Linked DNA regions of Xenopus tropicalis. The protein of the gene in region 1 purifies or fractionates together with the protein of each later gene. This does not show direct contact. Links are inferred from orthologs where the notes say so. Each region holds a gene or a part of one and is shown in the gene's direction. Other genes may lie near its edges.

Region 1 (4,768 bases):
AGGACCCCAAATTCATCCTCCTCCACCACCAAACTGACTTAACATTATATAAACAGGCACTTCATCTGGCATCCACCAAACACAGTATTTCAACGCAAGTTATTGCCATACCTTTTACACTTCTTTCTAAACTCCTACACTGGTGGTGCAGATCTTCCTACATGGTTGGCACTTCTCAATTCAGCAGACAGTGACAGTACTTAAGAGACACTTGGAATCCTAAATAGACTGGCACAAAACCGGATTTTTGAAGCAGATGGTGATGCAGTTAAAAATGATGAATTTATTTAGTAACAAGACCTCTCAAAAGGACAAGCCGTATGCATTTTGTACCTTATGGGGCACTTAATCATTAGCCTATGATTAAGTGCCCCATAAGGCACCAAACGTGTAAGACGTGTCCTTTTGAGAGGTCTTGTTACTACATAAATTCATCATTTTAACTGCATCACCATCTGCTTCAACAGTCCAGTCTTATGCCAGCCTTATTTGAAATCCAAGTGTGTCTATCACTTCCCCTGAGCTGAAGGTCTGGGGCTTGAGCACCCGGACCTCAAGAAACTGTTGGTGAGTTCTACCTTAATATATTGCATTTTTTCAATATTCATACATCAATAAGTTTTTAAGACCCAAACACAAAAACCAAGTTTTATGCAGATGGGAAGCTTACCAATTTTATTTTGACCACCTGTGCATCAACGATATCCACGAATACCATTGTACACTATAGCGCTAATGTCTCCTTGTTGAAACCAAGAATACTAACCCAAAACAATAATTATCCCCTGATCACTAGTCCTACACCAAACTAAGTTGTCTGGAACCCACCACCCCAGAAATGACTGCTTGACTGCCATATGTGAAGATGATTCATCATTTCAGAGAACCCATTTCCAGCTCCCTGCTGTCCAGTGTTATACAGCTTTACACAACAACTGGCAATGCATGGCACTCTACATGGTGATATTTAGCTTGTGTGCAGCTACTAATATTTCTTGTACTGATATAGGTTCCAGAGACAGTTTGGAACTCAGTAGAGAATGAAAAAACTGGTAATGAATATGTTTTAGAGGGCTACGTAGAACGTCTGCCTCTCCATATTTTCTGAATCTAACCTTTGTCTCTGAGATAAGGTTACAAGACAAACTAAATAAAACAAAACCCAGACAATTCTAACATATGCAGGTTGCAGGGCTGAAATAAGTGTAACCTGATTTCACTTGAATATATGGCAATATGTGTAGCACTTCTAGCTAACTTTTCTAAACAAACGTTCGATTCTTTTTCCTGCAAACTTACTCGTATGACTTATGAACTACAACTCCCAGAATTCCACAAAGAGTTCCATAGTAGTTCATAACGACCCACGGGTCGCTCTGTTTCAGTGTCGCTGACTGAGGTGATGTAGTTAAATAAGCCCCTCCTTCCAGCTAGGCTTATAGTCTACTGCACAAAAGTTGCAGGGTAGACAACAGTGTTTATTTTAAGTGATGCATCTTGCCTAGTAACAACTCAGGTGCCTAAAGGCTAGCAGGCGCACGGGCTGCCCCCTCTCTCCATGGATACCGAAGACGAATGACAGCTTTAAGTCGTGTCTGACACTTCCTACTGAGGGGGAAGATGAGAGACGTTCGTGCGTGACGTACGTGCTACCTAGGGGGACTGTGACGCCAGGACGCCGCTACCGTCACGTCACAAAGCGTGCAGCGGCGGACTTCCCGGCGTGCCTCGGGACTCCCGGTCGCTCGACTCCATCGGGAGAGACGCGTCTGGGAGTCTCCGGCTTTCTCGCTTCTTCGCTGCTCTCCCTGCGCCCGGGAACTCGTGTTCCTTCCTCCCAGGGAACATGCCGCGCCGCCCTCCGCAGTGATCCCCGGACTGAGGCCATGACAGCCGCTCCGGTAACCCCGCGGGAGATCAGGGAGAGGCTGCTGCAGGCCATCGATACGCAAAGCAACGTGAGTCAGGGGGGACAGGGAGTGGAAAGAGCGCAACACGGGGTTTCGGCACTTGATGAAACCCTCTGAACCAGCAGTGAGAAGCTAGACTAGGGACGACCGGGAAAGGGCTGACGGAGAGTGACTGGAGGCTGCTGTGACACTATCCCTTGATTATGGGTGGTTGGTGGCTAAGGGCTGGGGAAAAGAGAGGTGTCGTTACTCTGGAATGCACTTTTTGGCTCCAGGTTATTAGTTGAGGGTCACATGAGGCTGGGAAAGACCGAGTCCCCTGGAGCCAGAACGTGCAAGAGCCTTAGGGTGGTGGAGGCAGTGGCACTGACCATGCCGGGAGCTGAGAAGCCCACAGTGGAGTGCTATAGGTAAGGCAGAGCTCGATAGGAACAGCTAGTTGAGAGCCCCTTCTCTGTGGGTAGGTGAGAGACGAGTATAAAGCCTGAGAGCTGAGCAGGAAGTGGGCAACTGGGGAATGGAGGATTATGGGTCCCGGCGTTTATCTGGGGTTGCAGTCCTTTGTAGCAGGGACCCCTGGCGCTTGTTTTAGGCCATCTCGCGTTCTTAATCCGACTCTGTATATTCGAGCACATCCGTCCTTACTTTGTAGGCGAGGTCGGGGATAGGGCCTAGTCGCGGCCTTAAGTTAGCAGACTGCCCTTGTAGGCACCGGCACATGTCAGACTGCTGGCTAGGCTTGCGATGCCCGAGTCGGTGGGACTGCCAAAACACACTCCTTTGGCATATTCTTATGTTCCTGGCAGTGCAGATGTGTGCTTGTGGGGACAGGGTGCATTTATCTCATGTTGTTGGCATTACTCTGGTGTGGGCAGGCGGTGTGCTTGTTAAACTGAGAGATCTGTTCTCAAAGAAACAGAACAGGGAAAGTTCAGAATGCTATTTATTGTATTTCATTTAGAGATTTGTCATGGGTCCTTATGTGACCGATTTATCTTTGACTGAAGTGTATGGCATTTATAACTGCATTATATACAGACCTGTTGTTGTATGTGCTGTTATATTTGAGGTGTAACAACTCCCACAAATTAGAAGGCCAAGTAATTTGCAGTCAGCAATACAATTTATTGGTATGTCTCAAATTTGTAAAAGCTTTCACTGTTGTTTACAGTATATAATCTACTGCACTTTCTATCTTCTCTTGATACTTATTTTAGCATTGGCAGGATGCGTCGGCACCTATAGAGTTTAATTCTGCAAAGCACTTATGTAGCAAAAGTTTGAAGTACATTGCAGGATAAGATTTGTAACCATTATTAACATGTATCTATAAAGCATAATCTCTTTGTAAACAACTTCTGAAGTTTGAGGGTTTTTTTTACTGAAGCCTTTACTATAAAGAGTGAACACTACTATTAAATTGATAATAATCTATTGCTGAAAACCTACTTTCAGTTATAGCTTTAAATACATGTGTATTTCCTGTATCACTGGAGATATACAGCTTGTACATTTAGAAAGGATTTGGACCTTTTAATGCCAGAAGCATCTCAAAGTTATTTTGGGGTGAGGGACACATGGGTATGTACATACTGAATTAATTTGTGTCTTTAATGCTGACACATACCTTCTGAAAGTCTGTATTTGGTAGCTGTACTTTTGAAAGGCCTGTGTCTGCATGGGAATTTTTAAGCTGTAGGTAAACAAAAGCACATGTAAAAATAGATTTAGGCAACTGTGATAAAGGATCCTGGTTTCCAGAAAAGCATATATTGTTTAGGTTGGGTATGCTTTATATTAGAATTGATTTGTAATTTTTTAATATCTCACAAATAGTTAAATATTTATTGCGCTGTATTACACAGGTGTGAAAAATAACAACTAAAGGTGCTGAGCAGTACAGAGCTAGGGCTCTTTGATAGATGCATTAGAGGAAGGTACTTGTAAGTGTTGTTCCTTTCTTTCAGTAACCACTTTTGGGAGTGTTCGGGAAAAAAATCAGTAAATCGCTACACCTTTGGCTTTAGGTATAGTAGTAGCCCTATTGTAATCAGTTTGTTAGCCTGCAGAATTGTTCAGCAATTTTTAACCCTGGTTGCTACTTTGACCCTTTTAATGTTTTTGCATTTTCACTGGAGAACTCCTTATGAATCTCATATGATGTTATTGTGTAGTGCACAACATGTTTTAGAATAACGGGTTCTAAATGAAGAATCTGTTAATCCGAAAGACACTGTACACTACACCATAAAATTATTATAAACTGTCACAGTTAAGAGTTTTTTTTGTTTTTTTTTTTTATTTTAAACCCATAGAATAACTGAAAGATGAGATGTTACTTGTTCATGCTTTTTGAGAACAAGCATGCTGTTTTGTGTTTGGATTTTTTTCTGTATAGAGGCATTGCTTATGGCTTACTTTTTTTTTTCCTTATAGCTTATGAGGCACCTAGGTGACCTGTTCATACCTATGGTATGGGTTATGCTTTTATGCTGTTTCTTAAAGGGGTTTTTCACAGTTAAGTTAACTTTTAATATGATGTAGAGTGATATTCTGAGACAATTTGCAATTGGTCTTAATTTTTTTTTTTTATTTGTAGTTCTTTAGTTATTACATTTTTAGTTTAGGAGCTCTCCAGGTTGGAGTTGCAGCAGCTATTTGGTTGCTAAGGTCCAATTTACCTTAGCATCCAGGGAGTGGTTTGGATGAGACTGGTATATGAACAGCAGAGGGCCTGAATAGAAAATTTACAAAAAGTAACAGCAATAAAACTGTAACTTCACAAAGCAAGTGTTTTTGCAGTTTTTAAATGAGGGCCACTGACCCCAGCAGTGAAGAGTTTGAAGAAGTCATTCAGA
Region 2 (5,011 bases), on another chromosome or scaffold:
CAAACATTCATGTGAGTCACGTGGCAAAAATTACATCACTAAACACTGATTATAACTGATGACATCACTAAGCACCGTTTATAAGGATATAATTTAAAGGATATCCATGGCTTTTGGGTATTATATATATATATATATATATTTATATAAAGGATCGCACAAAATGCTCCCAGTACCTCCGTATTGGTACTGTTTTCAGTGAGTGAAGCAGAAATGAGCAGGGTTAATTGCTCATTCACGGAAACATGTTTTCCTTTAGGCCGGCATATTGCATCACAGAAGTCCTAGCCATCCGTAAACAAATTCCTCTATCTGCGTATTTCATGTTCCAACGCAGGTCCTGTATCCCCTTGGTGTTTGGGGTATGTTGGCAACACGCTGGGAGAGATAATGAACACAGGCTGGCTGCGTGCCAATGCACAACTAGTTCACTTACACACCAACTCGTGTACTTTGAGAGCAATGGGAGCAAAGCGTGTCGGGAGCCATTTTAAATGAAGGTAGCTGAAGTATAAGTTCCCCTTTTTAAAGGGCCACTAACGTTAGAAAATGCAAAAGCACTAAAATGACGTTCGAAGACCTGGACACGTGTAACCTAACAGAACAAACGCATCCTTAGGGGATGCCCACAATCGTTCCCTGTAGCCCCAGCTACTCCCCCATCTGTAGCCCCAGCTACTCCCCCATCTGTAGCCCCAGCTACTCCCCCATCTGTAGCCCCAGCTACTCACCCATCTGTAGCCCCAGCTACTCACCCATCTGTAGCCCCAGCTACTCACCCATCTGTAGCCCCAGCTACTCCCCCATCTGTAGCCCCAGCTACTCCCCCATCTGTAGCCCCAGCTACTCCCCCATCTGTAGCCCCAGCTACTCCCTCATCTGTAGCCCCAGCTACTCACCCATCTGTAGCCCCAGCTACTCACCCATCTGTAGCCCCAGCTACTCATCCATCTGTAGCCCCAGCTACTCCCCCATCTGTAGCCCCAGCTACTCCCCCATCTGTAGCCCCAGCTACTCCCCCTTCTGTAGCCCCAGCTACTCACCGATCTGTAGCCCCAGCTACTCACCCATCTGTAGCCCCAGCTACTCACCCATCTGTAGCCCCAGCTACGGCCCAGACTGGCAATCAGTGGGTTCTAGTAAATGCCTCAGGGGCTGCTGTAGGATGCCATGGACAGTCGCTATTTATTGGGCTGGTGGGGGGGCTGTTTGGGCCTCTGTGTACTGGAAATGCCAGGGCCTATTTTGTATCCCAGTCCAGACCTGCCCCTGGCTCTGCTGTATGGCCAGGGCTCAATTTTAGGGCTATGCCACCCTGAACACCCCCACAATATGGCAATTGGTGCATACAGTTTCCACACCAGAAGTGCTGTTAGCTGTCTATTTTTTGGGAACAAAAGTATATAGAGCACAGAGCCCAGGGCAGCTGTCCCTTATCCGCCACCTTATAACGACAGCTCTGGCCATGGATACAGTAGGGTTATTGGTCAATAAATGGAGGGGAGTATTTATTAACGCTGGAAACAAAAATCACCACTGATGTTGCCCATAAAAATCAAGAGTTTTACTCTTGTTTTCTAACTTTTATGACTCTTCAAATCTAATGCTGATTGGTTGCTATGGGCAACATCACCAGCGACATATGTTTCTAATGCTAATGTCTATAATCGCCAAAGGGGCTAGAAGCAGTAACCACACTAGTACAGAAGAATAGATTAATAACAGGGGGTTATTAAGATAATAATAGATAAATACAAAGTATAACAATAAATACAAATAAATACAAGATACAGTTGCAATAATTTAAGAGTCAAAGACACAAGAGGATGGAGGTCCCTGCCCCGTAGAGCTTACAATCTATATGGACTAGTCACAACGTATCCCATAATGCAACGGTGTTTTTGAAGTGACAAGGGCTGCTTGTTATAGTGCCCCATGCAATAGGGCGCCTCAATGAATCACTTCCATCACCAAACACCATATACAATGAAACCTTTTGTCAATAACTTAGCGCAGCCGAACGGGCCCTTATCTATGACGTCGCGCAAGCCGCGGTCGCGCCAGTGACATCATTACGAAACCGCCGTATTCAGCTACAGGCCGCGACGCACAGCTTGTGACGCAGTATTTGTGCTGCCGGTGAAGCCAGCGATAGTAACATGGCTACCGGCGGCAATGTGAGACCGGCTGAGGAGCCGGAGGAGGAAGAAGAGGAGGATGAAGCTGCCGAAGAGGAGGAGGAAGAGGAGTATACCTTCCTACCGCTGGTGCACGACATCATTAAATGGTACAGTTAGTTTGGGGGTCATTGTAACTGAAACACTGCCCCGCTACTGAGCTGTTTCAGCAGTCGGAACCAGCAGTGTTTGTGTATCATGGGAAGTTGCCTGGAATGTCATTTTGCTTTAGTATGTAGCATAAATGTATTTGTATTTACTGTCATTTAGTTGGACACCACTTGCAGGTACTTTTATTGCATTCCCTTTGCAGCCAGTAGCATTCTGTGTCCCTTTGGCCCCATACAGGTAACATTGGAGACAAACATCACTGGGGATGGTGCCCATGATTGGTTAGGTTGGCTTCCAATGTTAATAAATACACCCCTTTATATCTGCAGGGCTTATTTACACTTGATTGTGGTTTGGAATACCTGTTGGTGGGTTAAAGAAGAAGGAAAGGGGGAATTATTGGGGGGTAAAATGTTAGCGCCCCGCCCAAGTGACTAAGATCACTTACCTGATACCCCGGGCTGGTGCTCCTGTTAAGCTTTATCAGAAAGGTCTATGTAAATACAGCCATAAGCACTCACACAAACGCTGCACTGAGTCCTCTATCAAAAGAAACAGGGTTTGTTGTCTTTGTTTTCCTGTGCCAGAGTCTGTGCAGCTTTCTCCTCTCTCCTGTCCCCCCCCTCAAGAATGCTAAGAACTCCCCCCCCCCCCTTAGGAATGTTTGATCTGAGCCAATCAGCAGGAAGCTGACTCATAGTCTAACTAACTGAGCATGTACACCAGTCTTGGTCTTGGTGCAGGAGCGAGGCTTTATGGGAATTTTCTTTAAAGAACTCAGCCTTTTTTTTTGTCCTATGAGGCTTCTGATCATCTGAACAGGAGAAATATGGGGAGACTTAAGGGCACTATTGAGAGAACTGAGGGTATGCCTGCAGCTTGAGATTAACTCTCTATTAGCCTTTCCTTCTCCTTTAAGTTGCTGCTGTGAAGAGTAGACCACTCTTGCCCCAATGGAAACACTTTATGTGATTTTTCCTTTACAGAATCGCACTTTCCATCTCATTAGCGGTGGCCGTTTTGGGTCCACTGCCAAGGACACAGGAAGTACTAATGTGCACTTACCTCCTGTTTCTTCTACCAAGCATATATGCATTTGCTGAGAAAACAAGAGTTTTTGACCTGCTTCTGCCCTGAACCCACGCAAGCCCAGGCTGACCCATTGTGTTAACATGTCTTATAAACCCATGCCCTACCTGCCCACTTTTGATGTTGCCAGAGGGGGGTGGGTTAGAGGCAAGTTTATAAAAGAAAGTGGCCAGGAAGAGTCAGATGTAGCTGAGCTGGGTCGTCATAATGATAAGGGTGGAAGGAGCTGGGCCAGGAAGTGATGTCACACTGGGTAAAACGGGTAAAGCCGCAGGGTATGTGTGGGCCGTGCATCACGTGCTAAGCCCAAGCCTGCAAATGGCAAATTTCTCCCAACCCACAGCCTCAAATAATCAATGTAATATTGCTAAAGGATGAACTGTATATGACAGAAACTGCTGAATTTGCATTATGGGGGATACAGCTGGATCAGAGCCAGTAGGTGTCCTTCATTCAGAAATGGCAGCGTGTAGTCTGTGCAGCAGTGCAGCCGTCGGCAGGAGACTACAGCTCTCATAATGGGAAATCTAAAGGCAGAGAGGATTGTACCAGTTCCATTAAGGCGGGGGTGTCAGGCTCTAGTCTGTCCAGCAGATATGAACTACAATTCCTGCATTCTTAATGTTTGTTTGGGAGCAGTGCTGTGCAACTTGTACTGCATAACTTTCCTGCTATGTGGGACAACAATCACACACAGGGTATGGATTATATTGATATTATGGCATGATACAAAGAAGGCAGTGGAGCCTTTGCCTAGGCTGGGGGCTTTAAGTACTTATTGGAGGGCCCCACCTGACCCACAGGCCATTTAGTTGCCCGAATCTTCCCTAGTAACGCTTTATAGTACATTATGCATATATAGATAATTTGTGTTTACTATAGGAGCCCCTTTAATGAAAGCAGGGCTGACCAACTGGAGCCTCTGGGATAAATGTGGCTTTTCACGTTTTAGGGCTTAGTGGCTGCTTATACTCGTCCGTATGATCTCCTCATTTCAATATTTATCCAACCCTCAGACATGATATGACTACTAAGCAGCTGACTACATAGGAATCCAGTAAGCCCTGCCAAGTTTCATTTGTTAATGTGACTTGATAATCGCAGGACAGGGATGTTACTGTGCCTTTAAATCCTAACCTTTGGCTAATTTTATGTGCCAAAAGTTGGACCCAATTCTTTCCCCCTATTACTGACTTGTGTTGGTCAGCGACATATATTTATGGCCGATAAAAGCTGCCACCCAGTGTGGTGGGCCCAGATCTGCTCGTTTGGTGACCCCACCGAATGAGAGGATCTGGCTGTGTATGGCCACCTTTAGAATTGACGTTGGGCTTGAAGGCTGAGCAAAGTTCTGATAGGCTGGAGGTAGAATCCTGCGAGCCTGGGAAACTGCTGGTTAGTTTACTGGTAGCAAGTAGGGCTTGTACATAAGGTTATGGGTGCTGCTTGGGGGACATGGGTGTCAGTATAAGGCGTGTCTGGGCAATGATTATGATAGGAGGTTGGGGTTGGATCAGGTTGCAGGTCTGGGTCTTTCCCAGTAGATCTAAATAAATCTCTAGCTGGTGGGTCACTTTAGGAATGTGAGATTACTCCTGAATTCATTGACCCTTTATACAACCCTGGCCATAGGA
Region 3 (4,839 bases), on another chromosome or scaffold:
CCCGATGGAACATCGGCGTGCTGATGAACCATCTGAGATGGAGAGGGTAACAATACCCCTTGCACAAACTGTCACTTTCCCTAAGGAATCGATTGTTTTCTGTTCCATGCTGCTAAGAATAAATTGAAATGATTGAATTGAGGATCAGTAATGGTTTATTAAATTGTGAGATGACCAAAGGTACCATGAATTGTGCACTGTTTCAGAAATATCTTCAGGAAAAAGTCCAGTCATTTGTCTATGAGCCAATCCTTTCTGGGTTCTGGCAGACAAAAAACAAAATTAGTTTTGTATAAGCCTAAGTTCTGACTTAAAATAAGCAGTTTATGCACAAAAACCAATGTGCATGGATGAAAGCAATGCTACAAGGAAGAGTGGGCTAGAAATCCTTATCAGCCATGTAAAAGATAAATCAAAGCATTTGGTTACAGTTATTGTATAAAAAAGTGCTGCAACCAGTTAAGTTTAAAGGAAAACATACCTTTAGAATGAATAGTTAACCAACAGATTATATCATATTAAATGGCCTATTAAAGAATCCTACCAAACTGCAATACATATGAGGAAATAATGGCCTTCTACATCTTTTTCTTTGAGCCACCATTTAGTGATGGGCTGGGTGCTCCCTCAGAGATCACCTGACCAGAAATAATGCAGCTCTAACTGTAACAGGAAGTAGTGTGGGAGTAAAAGATAGAACTCTGTCCATTCATTGGCTGATGTGACCTAACTCATAAATTGTATGATCCCATGGGGTAGCCTGTAGTACTTAAAGGAAATGTAACACTAAATGTTTTTAAGTAAAAACACTATTCTACCCTGCCCCAATAACTGCCCTATCCTGCAAACCACTTAGTATTTTAAATGCTTTAATAGAAAATACCTGCTAAAACTTGGCTTCCTCTCAATTGAACTACAGGGATAGGGCAAAAGGAGCTGCATCCACTATGCGACGATCGATTGATCGAGCCTAGCCTGACTCCTTCCATACAGAAAGAAGGCTAGGCTCGATCAATCGATCATCGCATAACATGCTACTACACATTTTGTATGAAAATGGTTGATCTAAATGAAGTACAGTTTTACAGCTGCATTGTGCCATATATATTTATAGAGACCTACATTGTTCAGGGGTATGGTTTTAATTTAAAGTACACAGAAGATTTTGATCAGATATTATCTGACCCAGCACAAGATCGTGTAGGATCATACCAAACCTGATCCCCACAGCTGTAACACAAATCAGATCAAATGGTGGGTTTTGTCCCTGCATCTACATCACACAATGTGTTTCAATGAGAGAAAAGTATTTCAGACGCCATCAGCTTTTATCTTGAATAAACGTATCTCTGAGCTGCAGCACAATCCAACACTGCCCATTTAGTACAATGTATTCCTGCATTAAAAGTCTGATAGCTGCTCCGCCAGCCCCTCCACTTGCCTAAATGCTAAGCTAGAGTTTCCCAAACTGTGACTAGTAAGGCCATGGAGTCTCTGCTGCCCATGTGTCGTGTGTAGCCACTGTGCGTCTGTATAATGCTCCCTGAATGCAGCCTTTCCTACAGGCCAGTTAAAGGCCACTACTATAACGCTAACGCACCTGTTCACAGGTAGAGAAATGCCTTTTAAAAGTATGGAACAGGGCCCTGGGCAGGTGCTGCTGGCTATTTAGCCTGCCAGCGAGAAGCTCTAACAGTGCGAAGATACCCATAAGCCTGCCAGGTATTTAAGAAACGTTACCATTTCCCACATCGGTTACGGGCTGAGGCCTCCCCCAGCCACACTGCTATTCAACATTCCCGCCGCAGTACGACCCTGTAGTTAAAGGCGCCCCGCGCAGTCACGTGGTGCTATGACGTAAACCAGCAGGGGCTTGTGGGTAATGGGAAGTAGTCACTAGAGACGCTGAGACCCGGTTATGGCTGCTGGCGGAGCGGAGGCGCACTCTGGGGACCCGGAGGAAGATGCTTCACAATTACTGTTTCCCAAAGGTACGTGATAGAGCTCAGGCCTATAGTGTAGCCCCCCCCTTACACCCCCGGATGTTCCTGCACACACTGGCGGGATGCACAGAGCTCCCAGCAGCAGCAGAACACAAACGCCTGCGGAAAGATAAAGCCCAAGTGCTACCGCCATCACACTGGGTCCTCTCTCTCCCCCCTCATTAGCCCATTGCCATTCAGTACCCTGAGTAACCCATAGGCTGCTATACGTTTATCATAGCAGCTGGGACAGAGGGCTTTTTATCCCATGTTTTACTGTACGTGCAAAGATGTTTGCGAGCACTTTGGCTACTGGGGCACCTTTGGGGGCACAGATCTTCCCTGCTAAAGGGCTGTGGTTGCCTTGGGCTGGTACAGAAGCACAAAACATTTCTAGCCTACTTCTTATAAGCTTTTCTTCTTTTTTTTAAAGGTGAATTAAACCCTTTAATTGTTTAACTTGTATGACCCCTGCCACCACCCCAACTGCCAAAAGCCACCTGTTCCCTGCCCCCCCATATGAGTATGGGGGGGGGGGGCATATGAATTTCAAATATCCTTACTGCTAGCACGGGTGGGTCCAGGTGCACATGTCCCAGACCTTCAGCAGAGGGAGTTTACAAGGAACACATTTGCAGGTTGGGACCCAACCAGAAATCTTTACAATCTTATACAAAACAAATTCAAATGCCTTATGCGTTTTGTGTTGCCAAGACACACAATCATAGGCTCAATTGATTAAGTGCCTCTTGGCAACACAAAATGCGTAAGGCATTTGTATTTTGTATTCATAATGTAAAATGTAATTCTACAGACTGTAATAACTTATGGCTTCTGGTTTCAACTAAGTGGTCTTGATTGGTGCCTGCAACTGATCACTAGTGAGGAACATGGCACCCGATGCCAGGAAAAGGTTGGCACTCAGTATGCCTGTCACCTTTGTGCCTGGAACCGGAAGTGACTCGGCCACCGACTCTGCTTTCTTAAAGGAACAGTAACACCAAAAAATAAAAGTGTATAAAAGTAACTAAAATATAATGTGCTGCTGCCCTGCACTGGTAAAAGTTGTGTGTTTACTTCAGAAAGTCTACTATAATTTATATAAATAAGCTGCTATGTAGCCATGGGGGCAGCCATTCAAAGGAGAAAAGGCACAGGCACATAGCAGATAAAACACTATTGTATTCTACAGAATTTATCTGTTATCTGCTATGTAACCTGTGCCTTTTCTCCTTTTTTCCAGCTTGAATGGCTGCCCCCATGGCTACACAGCAGCTTATTATATAAATTATAGTAGTGTTTCTGTAGCAAACACACCAGTTTTACCAGTGCAGGGCAACAGTGCATTATATTTTTATTACTTTAAAGCTCTTTCATTTTTTGGTGTTACTGTTCCTTTAACTCTTCATGCTGTCCCTGTCTTCTGCAGGAATGGGTGTAGGTGTCAGATGGGGCTAATAGGGCAGGTTTGGGTAGATATTACAGTTGTCAAATGTGGGTGCCACTCAACACCAGGAATGGGATGTAGGTGATAAATATTTATTGTTGCTCTGTTTTATTGTGCAGTATTATTTGTGAGTGGGGAAGGGGCGGCAAGGTTTGAAAGAGAAAGTTTTGTATAGAAAAAACAAATAGCTGCTTAAATGTATGCATTGATTGCCTATGGCAGGGAAATCTCTTAAAATATTGGCTGTAATATATTCCGTCCCTATACCAGTTCAGGCCTTTACATGTCGGTTTTGCTTCTTTACATTGTGTAGAGTTTGAGAGTGCTGAGACTCTGCTGAATTCGGAGGTGCACATGCTCCTGGAGCACAGAAAGCAACAGAATGAGAGCGCGGAGGAAGAACAGGAGCTCTCCGAGGTCTTCATGAAAACCCTGAACTACACTGCCAGGTTCAGCCGCTTCAAGAACAGAGAAACCATTGCCAGTGTCAGAAGGTACCTGTCCTATTCCCCACTACATGCAATGTGTGCCTTGAGCTAGCTGCATGGCGAGGGCGCTGTAGTGCTGGCTCTCCTTGTGGCGCCCAGCAATAGGACCATCAGGATAAGATTTTGGGGAGAATTATTATGTTACTGTTTCCCTGCTTGTGGATCTGTAGCAGTGTGACTGGTAGGACCATGTTTTAAAGGAGAATGCAAGTCAAAATGTAAAAAGCATACTGCCCAATAGTCCTCCTATTGTTTAGTAAAAACGCCACACTTTTGGCTCACCTAATCAAATATTTACTCAGTCACACTTACTTCACATTTTCTAGAACAGGCAGCCATCTCTAAAAAGGTATTCTCCCTTCCTTTCCCTCCTTGCTTCATACTGCACATGTGTTTCATTCCCTCCCCCCCTCCCCTCTGCCAGATCCGCTTCTGATTGGCTGGTGGGCATGTGTAGCTCAGAACAGGAGACAGGATCAAGTTACACACATACTCGGAGAATAGGAAGGCTGCCGCTGGCACCTACAGGAAGGGGAGAGAGATTTCAGTGATGTCACTGTAGGCTTCACACCGCTGTAGGCTGCCAGCACCATATCTCAGAGAAGCAAGCAGGGATCTGGGAATTTAGATATGCAGTAAGTACTTAAAAAAATGCCTTTAGACTTCCTTTTAATTTATATTAACCTTTCATTGTCCTTTAAAGGATTATTAAAGGTATTTATAGAGGTTAATACCCCTGGAGAGCCACCCCTCACCTGATATTGTTGCCCCACTTTCCTTACCCCTTCACACTGGCTGGGGGTGCCATCTCATGCTGCTTCTCTTCCAAGTGATTGCTGCCCGGGAATATGCACAGTGAAAGGCTAGCTCCTTTGGCTTCATCTGCACATGTTCCTGGTGCAAGTTTGCTGCAAAGTTGAAG

Evidence for each region. Proteins that work in one complex are often made in the same cells at the same time.
Region 2: the proteins of med26 (region 1) and med9 purify together in Homo sapiens (affinity purification with mass spectrometry; 6 studies listed by BioGRID and IntAct, with this or other methods). This does not show direct contact. The link is inferred for Xenopus tropicalis from reciprocal best matches to the Homo sapiens genes MED26 and MED9.
Region 3: the proteins of med26 (region 1) and polr2d purify together in Homo sapiens (affinity purification with mass spectrometry; 3 studies listed by BioGRID and IntAct, with this or other methods). This does not show direct contact. The link is inferred for Xenopus tropicalis from reciprocal best matches to the Homo sapiens genes MED26 and POLR2D.

Annotation. Positions count from the first base shown.
Region 1 is NC_030677.2:112,238,799-112,243,566, forward strand, and holds the start of med26 (mediator of RNA polymerase II transcription subunit 26), read left to right. Parts: upstream 1-1,741; 5' UTR 1,742-1,886; coding exon 1,887-1,958; intron 1,959-4,768. UniProt on the Homo sapiens protein: Component of the Mediator complex, a coactivator involved in the regulated transcription of nearly all RNA polymerase II-dependent genes.
Region 2 is NC_030685.2:15,709,518-15,714,528, reverse strand, and holds the start of med9 (mediator of RNA polymerase II transcription subunit 9), read left to right. Parts: upstream 1-2,077; 5' UTR 2,078-2,159; coding exon 2,160-2,287; intron 2,288-5,011.
Region 3 is NC_030681.2:125,371,694-125,376,532, reverse strand, and holds the start of polr2d (DNA-directed RNA polymerase II subunit RPB4), read left to right. Parts: upstream 1-1,905; 5' UTR 1,906-1,918; coding exon 1,919-1,991; intron 1,992-3,742; coding exon 3,743-3,923; intron 3,924-4,839. UniProt on the Homo sapiens protein: Core component of RNA polymerase II (Pol II), a DNA-dependent RNA polymerase which synthesizes mRNA precursors and many functional non-coding RNAs using the four ribonucleoside triphosphates as substrates.